Canis lupus familiaris: one gene and its partners. The protein of the gene in region 3 purifies or fractionates together with the protein of the main gene of each other region. This does not show direct contact. Links are inferred from orthologs where the notes say so. Each region holds a gene or a part of one and is shown on either strand. Other genes may lie near its edges.

Region 1 (2,666 bases), on a different chromosome or scaffold from region 3:
AATGGCCTTACATCTTTGTTAAGAAGAGCATGTGAGGTGAATATGTGGTGATCATCTTTGGATGATCAGAACTTGTTTTCCACTTGAAACTTTTAAAAGAAGGACAACTGTTTGAATTTTTGCATCTGATGAGTAAGAAATTTTATCTTAGTATAGTTTAATTTGCATTTTTCTTACTATAAGTGAAATTGAGTATCTTTTCATGTACCCAAGGACCAATTCAGTATCTTTTTGTGAATTGCCCTGGTCTAACTAAAGATAAGGAGTTTTGGCTTTTTACCCCCTCAGTTTAAAAGTTTTTTGTCAGACTATTGGCTTTTTATTTGTGATATATATTGCAAATATTCTCTCCCAGTTTGTCTTTCAACTTGGCCAATTGTGTTTATATCGTGCAAGTGTTTTACTTATTACTGCATCTAGATTTTGAATCAAACTTAGCCTTTTTTTGTATGCAGGTTATAGAGGAATTGATGTGTATTTTCTTCTAGCACTTGTATAGTTAGATTTTTTATATTTAGAACTCTAATCCACTTGGGAGTTATTCTGTACAGTTATATAATTTTGTTTTTCCAAATAGCTGTATAGTTGTTATAACAACTAATAGACCATTTTTTTTGCCTTAGTAATTTTAAATATCACCTGTATCTTCTATTGGGTTTCTACACATATTTGGGTCTGTTTTTGTAGTTTAAATTGTATTCCTTTGGATCTATTTATTTACCTACTAGCATCACATCGTTTTAATTATAGAAGCTTTGTAATGTGTAGTATTTTAATGGTTGGTAGGCTAATGAGCAAAACCTTGCTCATGTAGGTTTTGAATATTCCTTGTTAAGTTTATTCTTACATAGTTTATAATTTTTATGGCTGTTGTAAATAGGGTTTTCTCAAGCATTGTGACTTCTAATGAGTTATTTTTTGTGTATAGGAAGGCTACTGATTTGTGCCTGTTAGTTTTATATCCTGCTACTATGCTCAATTCTTCAGTTGTTTGGGTTTATCATTGATTCTATCAGTTTCCCAGGCATATTCTTACAGTATCAACAAATAGATAGTCATGCTTCTTTTTCCACTTCTGTAGTCCATTCACATTGGCTGATCCCTCCAAGAGAATGTTAAATTGTCATATAGATGGTGGGCAGCTTGGCTTTGCCCCTGACTTTTGTGGGAATGCCGCTAGTGCTTCCTTATTAGATAAGGTCTGACTTTAGCCTAGAGGTGTGATATTAAGAGTTTTTATTTTTATTTTTTTAAAGATTTTATTTATTTATTTGAGAGAGCGAAAGCGTGGGCCTGTGAGCTAGGGGCAGAGGGAGAGAAATTGGAGCAGGCTCCCTGCTGAGCCTGGAGCCCCTCTGGGGCTTGATCTCACCACCCTGAGATCAAGACCTGAGCTGGTACCAAGAGTCCTATGCTTAACTGACTGAGCTTCCCAGGCACCCCTAATATTAGGGTTTTAAAATCAGTAATCTGTGAGCAATTTGATTTGAGGAATGGGAGGCAGAAAGACTCACCTCCATCCTTGCCCCTAAAACTCTGCAGAGAAGTTGAAACTGAAGTCTTTCACGTATGGGAGGAAAAGTAGGGTTCTGTTGCTTCCTCCTTGACAACATCACGCTTTATTTCTCACTCAAACCATATTGCTTTTCTGAGGCTCATGGACTCATTTTGGAGTGGGGGAAGTGTGTTGTCCTATCCTCTTTATCCCAGATTAAGAGATGGGCAGCTCATTTCTAAGAGAGCTCTGGAGTCAACCTCTTGGCCTCCCACTTGCCCTACTGTTTCTCCTATTCTTGGATGCCCCTTCAGGCCCCATTCCTCCACCCCCAGGAGAGCTGCATGCCTTTGTGATGAAGGTTGGTTTTGTTTGTCTTCTCCTCAGGTGCATGGCTGCTTCCTGTTTCCAAAGGCCAGAGAAAGCATCCCTAGGGCTGTGGAAGTAAACTAGGCAAGCAAAGGGCAGCCTCGAGCCCCACCCTTGCTGCCCTCCCCTGTGGGGGCCAGGATGCTGAAGAAGCAATCTGCTGGGCTTGTGCTGTGGGGCGCCATCCTCTTTGTGGCCTGGAATGCCCTGCTGCTCCTTTTCTTCTGGACGCGCCCGTCACCCAGCAGGCTGCCCTCAGACAGCGCTCTCGATGATGACCCCGCCAGCCTCACCCGGGAGGTGATCCGTCTAGCCGAGGATGCAGAGGTGGAGTTGGAGCGCCAGAGAGGGCTGTTGCAGCAGATCAGGGAGCATCATGCTCGGTGGAGCCAGCGGTGGAGGGTGCCCACTGCTGCTCCACCTGCCCCACCGCGTGTGCCTGTGTCCTCCCCACCAGCTGTGATCCCCATCCTGGTCATCGCCTGTGACCGCAGCACTGTCCGGCGCTGCCTGGACAAGCTGCTGCATTACCGGCCCTCAGCCGAACACTTCCCCATAATTGTCAGTCAGGACTGCGGGCATGAGGAAACGGCCCAGGTCATCGCCTCCTACGGCAGTGCCATCACGCACATCCGGCAGCCAGACCTGAGTAGCATCACGGTGCCCCCAGACCACCGCAAGTTCCAGGGCTACTACAAGATTGCGCGGCACTACCGCTGGGCGCTGGGCCAGGTCTTCCACAAGTTTAAGTTCCCAGCAGCGGTGGTGGTGGAGGACGACCTGGAGGTGGCTCCAGACTTCT
Region 2 (3,704 bases), on a different chromosome or scaffold from region 3:
TTCAAAGGGCACAGAGTGAGTTACTTGAAACTCAAAGGTGTAGGTAGAAAACTAGGCTAACCTGGATTTTGTGTCTTATCGTGAAGTGGCTCCTTCCGCTGCACCCTGACCACCTTTTCCTTCTGTTGCCTGGCTGTAGGCTTAGCCCACAAGGACTTGGCAGGGAGACCTGGCTCTACCTTCAGACACCTCTGTGAGCTGACCGTGGCCGCAGGTGCCCATGGTAGTGCCCCCACCCTGTGATGCCTCGCCCACACTCACCAGATGCCCACATCCTTGTTACTGCTCAGTATCCAGGTCAGCGCAGCTTCAAACTTGGCAGGGGAGTTGCCGGTCACATTCTGTGGGAGGGGGCGGGAGATTAGTGCTGTGGCTGGGCAGACCAGCTAGAACATTGTTCTCCTGCTGGATTAGGGAAGACCTCTCCCGTGTCCTCCAGCGGGCCCCAGAGCCCCATTCCGCTAAATGCACGACAAAGTGGAAGGTGGAAATGTGGGTTGATGAGAGCCAAGAAGGGGCTCTACCAGGAGGAGTCGAGGTGGGAGCACACAAGAAAGTGATGCAGGTCTGAGGTAGCCAAAAACAATTTTCTCAAGTACCAAAGCGTCAAGGGCTAGCAGCTCATCTTGGGGAAAATAAAAACACGTGTGGGGCTGGGGGCCCCAGGGGCCAGTCCCTGCCCCTCTCTGGGCCTCAGTCTCCTCATCTGGGAAATGAAAATAGGCTAGGGGACCCCTAGGTTTCTGCTGGCTCTAAGGTTCTAGAATTCTGTCAAACTGGGGCCAGGCCAACGGCCACACAGACCCCGAGCAATCTACACAGTGAACATAAAGGAGAGAATGGACAGGTGAAATGTAGGTCTGTAAAGCTGCTGGGAAGGGGAGAAAAGCGGGGGGTAAGTAATGGGGCTGCTTCAAGAAGAGGCGGCCTGCAGTGGCCATACCAGCTGCTCAGGAGACCCCCACCCACCTGTGGCAGGCAGGGCTCCGGCTCACAGCTCAGCTGGGACCAGGCACCTCTCCTGCTGCCTAAACTGAAAGTAGCCTAACACTCAACTAAGTTAGAAAGAAAGAAAAGAAAGAAAAGAAAGAAAAGAAAGAAAAGAAAGAAAGAAAGAAGAAAAGAAAAGGAAAGAAAGAAAAGAAAAGAAAAGAAAAGAAAAGAAAAGAAAAGAAAAGAAAGAAACAACAAAAAAGGGAAAACAAAAATAGCCAAAAAGCAAACACAAAATGGAAACGGAAAAAAAAGGCAGGGTCTGAAAGATCAGAACAAAAGCACCAGGACCTCCTGGGAGTGGGTGAGCGCTGCAGCCTACTTACTGCTAGGTATTCCTGGGCTTCCACTACAGGGATGCATTTGCTTTTTAGCTTCTCTGGATTTCCACATTCAAAATTACCTAGGAGGAAAAAACACATTCAAACAAAAGGAAGAGGTGGGGAAAAAAATACTCTGAAATGGGCTAAAAAAAAAAAAAAATGCAGCAAGAATCAAGCCATCAGCTTTAAGGGGGAGCATGTGGCCCCATGACTCTGGTGAGGCATCCTCAGTCTGCACCAAGATCAAAACCCACTTGGCTTGGATCGATTCCAGATCATTAAAACCTGACCTGCAAAGGAGTGCAGTGATTTGCATTAAATGACTAAAAAGCTACCCAATCCTAAGGTCTGTTCTCAATTGATCCCTAAGAGGATCAGACAGGTAGCTTTGGAAGGTACCAGAATGGCACTATAAATAAACGCGACCTGGGCAAAAAAAAGAAAGGCAGGGCGGCTGCAGGCACTGCAGGATTCTGGCCACGGCACAGGCCGGGGGCTAGGAACTCCAGGCCCACTGTTTTGAGGGGTTCTGGGGAGGGAAGGCCAAAATGCCCCACAGAGAAAGAGGGCATCCCTGTGCTGGGCAGTGGGGCCTCAGTGTGGTGCCCCAAGGGGCCACCCCCTTCTGATTAGGTCCCACCTAGGATGAAGCTGGGAGCCTCCCCTTAGGCCCACCCAGGGCCACCTCCTCTGAAAACTCCCGAGCCCATGGGGAAATCTTGTCGGACCAAATCACTCTGGACTTGGGGGCCTGCCACAGCCAGTGGCTCTCAACAGCCCACTATGGTCCACCCACCATTGTTCTGCTTCCTGTGGGTCACTAGATGCCTTGAGAGCAGGCACAGCACAGGCTGGGGGCATGTACAAGATCCTTAACCCACACAGAGCCTCACTGCTCTTAACCTGGCGCAGCCTGGGGTCTGGGGAGGGAGTGGCTGAGAATGAACTTTAAAAATCTTGAGACCAAACTAAAGGTTATCCCTCCTGTGCCAAGTTGAGCTTGCCCTTATGGGACCCCTGAGATCAAGCTGGCTTTTCCCGACAGGCCCCAGAATGCCCTGCCCCGCTTAAGCTGGCCTGGACCACAGCCATGGTCTCCTGATTAGTTTCGTCCTCTCTCCTTTCTCATCAACGTTTGATCAACAAAAGTTTAAAATGATTCTGCTTAAATCGCACTACTACACTCAAGCTGCCGTCACCCTTGCCTTCCTAGCTCCTGGCTCTCAACATATCACTCTGCTGCTCAAAAGCCTCCTTGGCATTCACCGCCTGCAGTGATCAAAGCCCTGGTGGCCTGACATCTATGGCCATCCATGGTGGGGCCCAACCAACCTTTCCAAACTCCATTCCTTCCCCTATGAAGCCAAGAGCTTCCATCCCTGACTCTGTCATTTCCCGCCTCTTGGCTCTGCCCTGCCCCCCACATATACAGAATCAATCCTCCTTGGGCTTCAGGGTCTGGCACAGACACCACCTCCCCTGTGATGCTTTCCTGACTGCTCCAGCTGAAAGGTAACATGCCTACTGGAACTTCTGGCCTCTCGGTTCTCATCTAATCACACCTTTTAACAGCCATTGGTCAGGGAGGTAGGTGGCCTGTCCCTTCTACTAGATCATAAGCACCCTGTGGGCTGCAAGGGAAGCACAATGCCCCGCCCATAGGTGACCTCCCAGGTGGGGTTGGGGTTGGGCAGAGTATGGCCTAGCAGAGCCCTCATTCCCCTGCAGTGAGACCCTCAGGCTTGCCGTTGGCCAGGCTTGTCAGAGGACAGGAGGCACTAGGCCCCCTGATGGCATAAGCCAGGACCACAAATGGAGGGCAGGATGGAGGAGAAATGTCTACCAGCATCTCTGGTTTAAGACAGAGCTTCCCTACTTTATACCCTAGGGCTTTTCAAAAATGCAGACTTTGATTCATAGGTTTGGAATGGGTCCTCAGATTCTGGATTTCCAATAGGTTCTGGGGTGATCCTAATGCTGCTTGTCCCTGGACCACAACTGAGTTACTAAGGTCTGGAACACTCTCTTAAAGGGCCAGAATTTGGGCAGCCTGGGTGGCTCGGCGGTTTAGTGCCTGCCTTCAGCCCAGGGGGTGATCCTGGAGACCTGGGATCGAGGCCCACATCGGGCTCCCTGCATGGAGCCTGCTTCTCACTCTGCCTTGTGTCTCTGCCTCTCTCTCTCTCTCTGTGTGTGTCTCTCATGAATAAATAAATAAAATCTTGAAAAAAATAAAGGGCCAGAATTTATAGTCCAAGGACCCAGGCCATGCAGAAAGGCCCCTGGGGCCTGTGATGCTGTGAGCTCCCATGCCTACTGCTCCTCCTCCGAGCTCACAGATGCCTTCCTGACCGCCACTAGTCTCCTGCCAGTCAGGGGAAGGTGGTG
Region 3 (2,800 bases):
TGCCAGGAGGGCTGCGCTAATTCCCACAGCACCCTCCTGGGGGTTTGTGCAGCTTCTTGGAGAACCAAGGGTCTTGGATACGCGGGAGCATCTGCGTACCTGTTGGGCCAGGGCGCTCTTACATTCGGCCCCTCCTGCCCAGTTTGCCCCGGGTGGGTGGCGAGCAGCACCCACCTCTCTCCAGCACAAGTGGACGCGTAGAGCGTAACAGGACACTGACTTCCATCCACTCTCCCGCTTTTGTGTCTGTGTGTTGGGTAAATGACAGGCTGAATCTGATATCCCCTGGACCCCTTTCTCTTTTGATCTTTCCTTCTACCTACCTCCTTTCTGCTATCCGGACAGTGCATTTAATGGCTGGAGCTCTGGCAGCCATTTTGGACCATAAGAGGTGTTCTAGATTGAATTGTGTCCTCCCAGGGACACCTGGGTGACTCAGTGGTTGACCATCTGCCTTCGGCTCAGGTCATGATCCCAGGGTTCTGGGATCGAGTCCCGCATCCAGATCCCCGCAGGGAGCCTGCTTCTCCTTCTGCCTGTGTCTCTGCCTCTCTCTCTCTCTGTCTCTCCTGAAAAATAAATAAAATCTTAAAAAAAAAATGGGTCCCCCCAAAAGATATGGAAACCTACCAACAGTACCTCAGAATGTGACTTTTATTTGGAAATAGTGTCATTACAGATAGAATTAGTTAAGACAAGGATACACTGGAGTAGGGTGAGCTGGTAATCCCATAGGAGAAGAGAAGAGACACACGAGGAGAGGTCATAAAACAGAGGACACTGGACTCATCCTGCCCCAGACACGGAACACTTGGGCCCACCAGAAACCAGTAAAGTCTCATGTGACAAATTCTTCCTATGGAGCCAAGAAGGAACACAGCTTACCGACACCTTGATTTTAGACTTCTGCCTTCAGAATGGTGAGAAAATGTCGTTTTTAAGGCTCACAGTTTGTGGTGGGCTGTGCTACAGCCTGGGGGGCTACAAGGGGACTTGGAGGATGAACAGTTCTGGCACAGACCTCAGAGCAGAAGAGGCCCAGGCCCCGCGGACCATGGGCCACACACTCTAGCCTGACCAGCTCTAGGCCTCTATCTTTTTTTTTTAAAGATTTTATTTACTCATTTGACAGAGAGAGTGGGCACCAGCAGAAGACCAGCAAAGGCACTGGGAGAGGGAGAAGCAGGATCCTCCATGGACCGGGGAGCCTGACCTCCACCTGAGACTCGATCTCAGGACCCTGGGATCGTGACTGAGCCCAAGGCAGACGCTTCACAGACGGAGCCACCCAGGGGCCTCTCGACCTCTTTCTAGGCGAGCATAGCGGGTTGTTTTGGTCTTTTTGCTATGAGTCAACAAGTTTGATTCCTGATTGGAGACCAGGCCTCACCTGCTACCTGCAGACCCCCGCCAATTTCTCTGACCCCACTGCACCTTGCAGAGGGGGACTGGGGCGGGCTGCCAGCAGGTTCCTGGTCAGAGCCCCACCTGTCTGCCTCTCCTGGTGGGAGACACTTCCCTAACAGCACGTAGAGCAGCTGGGCTCCAAGGACAAGAATGTCTTTATTGAAGCAGGAGGCGGAGGCGGGGCGGGTGCACCCAGGGGCAGGCCCCGCACTGGCAGGTCGGGGCAAGGGGCTGAGATAGGCCAGGGTCAGCAGGCAGCATCAAGGGCCGGAGAGTGGGGCGGGGGCCATCAGAGGGTGATGTTGTCCTCATACAGCGACAGCAGCAGCAGGACGGTCCAGCCGCCCAGCAGGCCCATGTTGTGCAGCAGGAAGAGGAGCCAGGGCCGCCGGTCCCGCACGTGCAGCATGGCCGGGAGCTGAGGGAGAGGGAGAGGGAGGCTGTGGTCAGGGGCCAGCTCCGGGCCCCGGCTCACCCTGCTCAGCTCACCCCTGGGCGGCCGACTCCCGCCCTCCACCCTGACCATGTCGCAGAGCGCCACGTAGAGGAAGAGGCCGGTGGCCACCGCCAGGATCCAGGCCTCGCTGTCCTCGCCGACGTCGACAGCGAGCGCCACGTAGAGGCCGGCGAAGGCAGTCAGCGCCGAGGCCAAGTTCAGCAGCAACGCCCGGCGCACCGACAGCCCCGCGTGCAGCAGGGCCGCGAAGTCCCCTGGGGCGGGAGGGGCGGGGGCGGGGTCAGGCCGGGGCGCCCCGCCCCGCGGCAGCCCCCCCGCTCATGGCCCGGCCCACCGCCCGGGAGGCCCGGCCCCCCGCAGGCCCCGCCCCGCCCCGCCAGGGGGCCCAGCGCCGCGGACCTAGCTCGTGTGGCAGCTCGTGGCAGAACACGGCCAGCGACGTGGCCAGCCCGGTCTTCCAGGAGGACGCGAAGGCGGCGCCCACGGCCAGCCCGTCGGCGAAGTTGTGCAGCGCGTCGCCCAGTGTGATCACGTAGGGCAGCAGCCGGAGCTCTGCGGGCGGTGGACGTGGGTGCGCGCCCGCCCGGCCCCCCGCCCGCGCCGGCCCCCCGACCCTTCTGGGGCTTTCCTCGGGACTCACCTGGGCTCAGTCTCCGGGGCTCCGCGCTCAGCAGCTCCGGGCTCTCCTCCGCCACCTGCGGGGTGGTCAGGTGGGCCGGGAGGTGAGGAGGGGCGCATGGGCTGGGTCCCCCGAACAGCATCGGAGGCCCCGGGGCGGTGGCGGGGCAGGTCCGGGGCCCTTGGGGGAGGAGCTCCCTGTGGCATGGGGACGTCGGGGAAGGGCCAGCTCACCAGGTCTGCGCGGGAGCCCTCGTGGGGCTGCTTAGGTGGCCGGAGCTCGCTGGGCGCCAGCTGCAGGGACACCCCATGGCTGTG

What was found. Proteins that work in one complex are often made in the same cells at the same time.
Region 1: the proteins of SLC39A4 (region 3) and alpha-1,3-mannosyl-glycoprotein 2-beta-N-acetylglucosaminyltransferase purify together in Homo sapiens (affinity purification with mass spectrometry; 3 studies listed by BioGRID and IntAct, with this or other methods). This does not show direct contact. The link is inferred for Canis lupus familiaris from reciprocal best matches to the Homo sapiens genes SLC39A4 and MGAT1.
Region 2: the proteins of SLC39A4 (region 3) and LEMD2 purify together in Homo sapiens (affinity purification with mass spectrometry; 3 studies listed by BioGRID and IntAct, counting the BioPlex papers as one, with this or other methods). This does not show direct contact. The link is inferred for Canis lupus familiaris from reciprocal best matches to the Homo sapiens genes SLC39A4 and LEMD2.

The regions. Positions count from the first base shown.
Region 1 is NC_049232.1:297,897-300,562, reverse strand, and holds part of alpha-1,3-mannosyl-glycoprotein 2-beta-N-acetylglucosaminyltransferase, read left to right. Parts: intron 1-1,882; 5' UTR 1,883-2,005; coding exon 2,006-2,666. UniProt on the Homo sapiens protein: Initiates complex N-linked carbohydrate formation. Essential for the conversion of high-mannose to hybrid and complex N-glycans.
Region 2 is NC_049233.1:3,299,607-3,303,310, forward strand, and holds part of LEMD2 (LEM domain-containing protein 2), read right to left. Parts: intron 1,397-3,704; coding exon 1,320-1,396; intron 342-1,319; coding exon 262-341; intron 1-261. UniProt on the Homo sapiens protein: Nuclear lamina-associated inner nuclear membrane protein that is involved in nuclear structure organization, maintenance of nuclear envelope (NE) integrity and NE reformation after mitosis.
Region 3 is NC_049234.1:38,583,947-38,586,746, forward strand, and holds the end of SLC39A4 (zinc transporter ZIP4), read right to left. Parts: coding exon 2,717-2,800; intron 2,560-2,716; coding exon 2,505-2,559; intron 2,417-2,504; coding exon 2,264-2,416; intron 2,119-2,263; coding exon 1,931-2,118; intron 1,826-1,930; coding exon 1,697-1,825; 3' UTR 637-1,696; downstream 1-636. UniProt on the Homo sapiens protein: Selective transporter that mediates the uptake of Zn(2+). Plays an essential role for dietary zinc uptake from small intestine. The Zn(2+) uniporter activity is regulated by zinc availability.